2 linked regions of the Drosophila melanogaster genome follow. The protein of the gene in region 1 purifies or fractionates together with the protein of each later gene. This does not show direct contact. Each region holds a gene or a part of one and is shown on either strand. Other genes may lie near its edges.

Region 1 (2,970 bases):
TTTTAGCTGGCATTATCTTTTCCATTCCAACGCGAATTACAATTAGTTATGATAGGGAGCATTACAATGAGTGTTTATGATACGCTTATAGTAATTCCCGCCATATCTACACCCAATTAAGCTGCTTGTAAAGCTAAATAGAAAATCTTTTCGGGCAGCAAATATGACACTAAAAATTTGCCAGCAAGGATTTCGTCCTAAGCTTTATTAATTATACATGAGACTACTATTTCTATAGAGCAAATGTCCAAAATATATTTCTTAGAAACCAGTTCTCTATTTATTTTAGTAACAGTAACAGTAACCAAGTAATCTTAATTTTCACAGTTGCCCTCAATTCCATATTAAGTGTGGTTTTTTCAAGGATATCACACTTTTTCAAATTAAAATATACAATTTTGTATACCGAATTTCATAACTTACTTTGAAAATATACAGGTTTTTTTAGTCACACAATTTATTTGCAACTGGCCTAATTCGCAACAAGTTTGTCCAGCAATTTCAAGGAAACTTTTATTGGATCTATAAATTCTGAGCACCCGCGTACACAACCGACAATTAAAGCTCTACGCACCGCACTTGGGGCGATTTGAAATGTTGTTTGCGTTTTTATACTCGAAAGTCTCAAAAGTTCTGAGATAGCAATTTCAAGTGCATACTTATAAATTCACCTGTGTGGTGGAAAAAGCTTTAAAATACGACAAACAAACCACAGCAAATCCAGAGGGACTCTAAGATAATTACAAGTCATGATTACATTTATTATAATGATTCTTAGTTTTAACAACCTTATTTACTTTTTGTGTGCTATGGTTTAGTTAGATTTTTAAAAGCGTTAACGCAATACATATACGATATGAAAAGTATTGCACGCTATAATCTATAAATAATTAAACACAACCGGCTTTCTCGTCAAGCTTTTGATGCATTTGTGAATTTCATTATTGTTGCGTTTGCTGCTTTATAGAAACAATTGCAAAATGCCTGGGCGAAATGACGGGATCAAATAAATCTATCAGATAGCTGCGTTCATAGCCAAGTTCCTTGAGGTAGAGCAGGCGATCCAGGAGAATTAGACTCTCCAGCACCGGAGCAAAGGACATGCGCAGCAGATAGAACAGATCCAAGAAGTATTTATGCACGGCATATTCCTGGAGCAGGGATTGAAGTTCTTCTTTCTCAACAGCTGCCAACCAGGGAGCATCCAATTTGGTGGCACACTTTTGAATGTACTCCTCGAAACTCTCGAATTTCCGTACCTTGCCCACCTGCAGTTCGTTTTTCAGCTCCGGCGCATGGCGGCAAACCAGAATCTCCAAGAGAGCTCGATAGTAGAGCGTTACATTAGGCAGCTCCTTGGTGTCCAAGGTGCGTTCAATTGACTGGGCCGCCAGCATCCGCGCATTGCGACCCATTCGCACTTGTCGCTCCCGCAGGTACTGACTCAATGGGAATCCATAGTCTGTTTGCAGCTCCATCAGGGACTTATTGCCAAAGAACTCCTGCTGCGAATAGCGCTCCCGCAGCAAATGATAGCAGCAGCCAACATTACAAAGCAACCGGCAGTCCGTTTGGGCGTGGAAAACCTGAAGACAGGTGGCGGCCAGGTTGCCACAGGTATGCAATCCAGTAAGGCAAATGTTTGGACTGTCTTCCGGTCTAAACTGAGTGAAATTCTCCGCCAGCAGGGCACCAAAGTTAAGTTCGGTGGTTATAAACTTTGCCGTTGTCTTGTAGTTTTCCAAGGCAGGCGCACTCTTGGTGCTCTCCCTGGCTGGCGACTTTTTACCACGTCTCTTGGGCGTGATTCCCTGGACTTGCAGCTCCGCTCGTTCCGTAAGGCCATTCCAAGCGCGCTGAAATTAAATAAAATTTTAATTTTGGCGCTTTTGAATGGTTTTTCAATACTCTTCTTCTATGCTATTCTTCTTCTTGTTCTGGTATGTTTACACAGCGCAGCTGTGGTCACACTACACAAAAAAAACGCGAAAAGCCGGCGATTTTCGGCACGCTTGTTGTAATATTTTATAAAAAAGGCAGGAAAAATCAAATAAACAGAATGTCGGCTGGTATGCCCATTAACCCCAAGCCCTTCCTGAACGGCCTGACGGGAAAACCGGTGCTGGTGAAGCTGAAGTGGGGCCAGGAGTACAAGGGCTTCCTGGTCTCCGTCGACGGCTACATGAACATGCAGCTGGCGAACACGGAGGAAGTGATCGAGGGCTCCGTGACTGGTAATCTTGGCGAGGTGCTCATCCGCTGCAACAACGTGCTGTATATCAAGGGCATGGAGGACGACGACGAGGAGGGCGAAATGCGCGACTAGCCAATGGATTCACCTACATACACCCACACCTTACTTCTAAGTCTACAAACGTAATGAAATAAAGCTAACTTTATTTTGTAAGCCCGGCCTACCTGCAATTTGCGATTCCTATTCAATGCGTTCTCGGTGTTTGCCGCGTTCGCATCGATGCCGAGCACGCGGTGACCATACTGGAGCGCCAAGCGCGAGGATAAATACCCTTTGCCATCGCCCGCGTCTACAATGAAGCAATCTTGACCGGAGTTCTTCACAAGCTGGTCCACGAGAACGGCTGTTAGATCCACCTAATCGGAGAGATTAATCAATTCCTAAAATACTCTCATTTAAAATGGTTGGTTTACTTACCTCATGGCACTTTTTGGCGCTCATAAACTCCCGAATGCTTAGCTGCGTGGAGTTCCCCTGACCCTCTGAAGCGACAGGCGTTCTTGTTTGCTCTTGCCTAGGAATTCTCGCCATGCCGGAAACCTTTCTGATTCATCAGTTTTCCAAAATAGGTCTTCTATGGCCAGAGCCACATCTTCCTTGCCGGCGATCTCACTTTTCAGCGTTTCGGATAAAAAGCCGTCCCAGTGCTGGTCCGTCAAGTAGTTCACCATGTGGCAATTGACAAAATCCCAGTGCGGATTGAGGAAGGCCAGTAA
Region 2 (3,118 bases), on another chromosome or scaffold:
GCCTCCAATGGAGCCGTCGTGGATGCCGGCTCCTGCCGCGGAGCTAAACAAATGCTGGCAGGCTATGATCTTCACCTCGCCCTCGCGCTGCGTGTGCTCCAGGCAGTATTGTCCGGCGCTGAGGTTCTTGTGCGGCAACTGGAGCATGGCCGTGTTCCGATCCAGCTTGGCATCCTGCCAATCACCGGCAATGGAGTAGCCACCGGGTTGGCCACAGTCGGGCAGGCCGTAGCTAGTCTGATAGCTGCCCTCCGGTAGCTGCGGCGACAATCGCAGCAGTCCATCGACGGCTGCCTGATGGTTGGGCTGCAGATCGCAGTTCTGGAGCTGCGTGTTATAGCTGCCCCACTTGCCGCAGCACTTGCTCAGTCGCAGGCTAGCCTTGGGCGGCTCCTGCTGCACGAGAGGATTGGCTGCATAATCGGGATCCTCCAGAGCATTGATCGGCTGACTGTCGTTCAAGCAAACGACGGCCACCTCCCAGTCGACACAGTAATCCGACGGCTGGACCATTAGAGCGCGTTCCCGCACATAGAGCGTGCCATTGGGAAAGAGCATCACATTGGCTCCGCGGCTGCGAAAGATCTCCGTCGTCTGGTCCTTTCGGCACGTGGGTCTCGTATTGGGCAGGAACTTCAAGAATCGCGGACTGGCGCCATGGGGCTCGAAGAAGCGCTGCTGCTGCACCAAGTACACCATGGGCAGCCACAGGGCTTCGCTGCCGGCGATGCAGGTGCCATCGTTCAGATACTCGCCCGAATGGCAGCACTTGTTGAGCTTCACGGTGGGCGGCGGCGATGGACGTGGCGGGGCGGCCGGTGGTGGCGACATCTCCTCGATGGCCAAACTCATCGACACAAGCGTCTGCAGCAGGATGACGGTCGTCAGTAGGCCACATGGCCTGATGAACTGGTTGCTGCTGGCAGCTCTGCTACTCCGACTCCTGTCCATCGTTAGCTCACTCGTCAAGATCTGTGTGGATTTCAGGTTCTCTTGTCTCTTGGCCTCAATTTGCAATTTATGTGGCTATGTACTACACATAGCTTTAGCTATGCTGTTTTTCTTTTGATTTTGCGTTCCGTTTCGCTTCGTCGAATAGCACTTTTCACTTTTCCTCTCTTTCGTTGGCAAATGGAAAATCAGAAAATGCTGAATTTCACCGCCGCAAGTTGGGCAAACAAACACCGAAAATCGTTAAGTAAACAACACACGCTGCGCTGCGTTCGATTTCGAATGCATTCCAATATAAAATAGAGTTGTCAGCGAATCATGTATTTATCACAATATCACATTCTTATCGTTGCGTTTTCATTGCGTGCTTGTGCGCCAAGGCTTTTCAGTCAGTCTCCGTTTTCAGTCGTAAACACGGCGCGCGGTGTGTAAAAAAAAATATATGCACGATTTGCGCTCCGATTTTAACGCGCATCAGACTTTTCCTCGCGTTTTTTTCGAAATACTATCGTCGATCAGGGGGGCGGGGATTTTATACGGGTGCCTGGGCGAGTGTGACCCTGTGCGATGCCGAAATACCTGTAGCCGGGGTCACACTGCAGCGCAGATCTGCGCTAACCACAAAATAGCCTTTTCACACGGCCGCTACAAGTCGCGTTGATGCGGTATGTTCGCACTGCCTGAAGTAGGGAGGCATATATAAAAAAAATGTCAGCTTCTCTTTCAAGAATCGATTTCAGCAAACAAAATTGGTTAAATAAACTAAGGATTAATGTTTTTTTTTATTTATACTAACCGTTAATAAAAAGTGTGAAAGATCGTTTATGCGGATGCGACGTCTGTTTAAATAAATCGTTTTGCCATTAATAGAATACTGTCATTTACCACTCCTTGTATATATGTTTTTATATTGCGATTTAGAAGGATTATTCCTATGTTATTTGCTATTTGAAAATTTCATTTATGTGAGCACTTAAAAGCCAGCGAATTTGGCGGAAAAATATTTTTCCCGCCCGAAAGTGTGACCAGTTGGTAGAGTGACCAAGACGATAGTATAGCTCCAATCAATAGTGACATCTCTAGCTTGCGGTCCGCGTTTTTACTTAATTTTCCCATTTTGCGCAAATTAAACCATCAAAATGTCGAAGGCCCATCCCCCAGAGGTGAAAAAGTAAGTGCAACCCATGTGGGAAAAAGATAGCGCTCCATAAATGCAATTAACAATACAACTTGCAGATACATGGACAAGCGCATGATGCTGAAACTGAACGGCGGACGCGCGGTGACCGGTATTTTGCGAGGCTTCGATCCCTTCATGAACGTGGTCCTGGACGACACGGTGGAGGAGTGCAAGGACAACACGAAGAACAACATCGGCATGGTGGTAAGATGCGCAGCATACCCTGCCATAAACTATCGACTCACTCGTTTTTCCCACCTGGCCAGGTTATCCGCGGCAACAGCATCGTCATGGTGGAGGCCCTGGACAGGGTCTAGCACCCGCCTCGGAACCCGATCTCGTCGAGCATCGTTAGCCGTAGTGCTTAGTCTTAAGGCTCCGTAACATTCATAGTCAGAAGAAACACACAAACTCTTGAATAAATTCTATAACAAAGATACCCCTTTTTGAACTGACAATTTATATGAGCAGTTTGGAAAATAAGTCGAAAATATTTAATAATATTGCGTACTTTGTGGATTTACTGCATTGGGAACTTGAGTCGGAAGATTGCCACTTTAAATGACGTCGCCAAGACTAGCAAATGTATTTTCCAAGAAATGCAAACACAGATAGCTTTACACATAATTGGTTTCCAAATCAATTTTTGTGCCTTTGATTTTATACAAATGCTTGGCTTCTTGATTTCTTTGTTAATTTAACTTATTTTCGGCTATTAGTGCCTTACTTGTTGAAAGATTTTGGCCATCTCCTTTTGAATTTGTATAACAATGTTCGATCGACAAAATAAAAGGCTACGTCTTTTTAGTCTTCAATCAATGCAAGAAGTTTACTTCAAGTATATCAGAAAGTTCTTTATCCGCAGATTTTATTTGTCGAAATGGAATAGAAAACAAGACACAATATATATTGAAGCAAGGCAGCTCCACCATTTCACCAAAAAGGGAATGATTTAAATCTAAAGATTAACCTTACCAAGTCCGCATG

What was found.
Region 2: the proteins of SmF (region 1) and SNRPG fractionate together in Drosophila melanogaster (co-fractionation; one study listed by BioGRID). This does not show direct contact.

The regions. Positions count from the first base shown.
Region 1 is NT_033778.4:12,183,279-12,186,248, reverse strand, and holds SmF (small ribonucleoprotein particle protein SmF), read left to right. Parts: upstream 1-1,938; 5' UTR 1,939-2,059; coding exon 2,060-2,326; 3' UTR 2,327-2,405; downstream 2,406-2,970. UniProt on the Drosophila melanogaster protein: Plays a role in pre-mRNA splicing as a core component of the spliceosomal U1, U2, U4 and U5 small nuclear ribonucleoproteins (snRNPs), the building blocks of the spliceosome.
Region 2 is NC_004354.4:16,639,310-16,642,427, reverse strand, and holds SNRPG (small nuclear ribonucleoprotein G), read left to right. Parts: upstream 1-2,008; 5' UTR 2,009-2,090; coding exon 2,091-2,122; intron 2,123-2,187; coding exon 2,188-2,335; intron 2,336-2,397; coding exon 2,398-2,448; 3' UTR 2,449-2,618; downstream 2,619-3,118. Other genes in the region: mthl1 (methuselah-like 1), read right to left, coding at 1-951. UniProt on the Drosophila melanogaster protein: Plays a role in pre-mRNA splicing as a core component of the spliceosomal U1, U2, U4 and U5 small nuclear ribonucleoproteins (snRNPs), the building blocks of the spliceosome.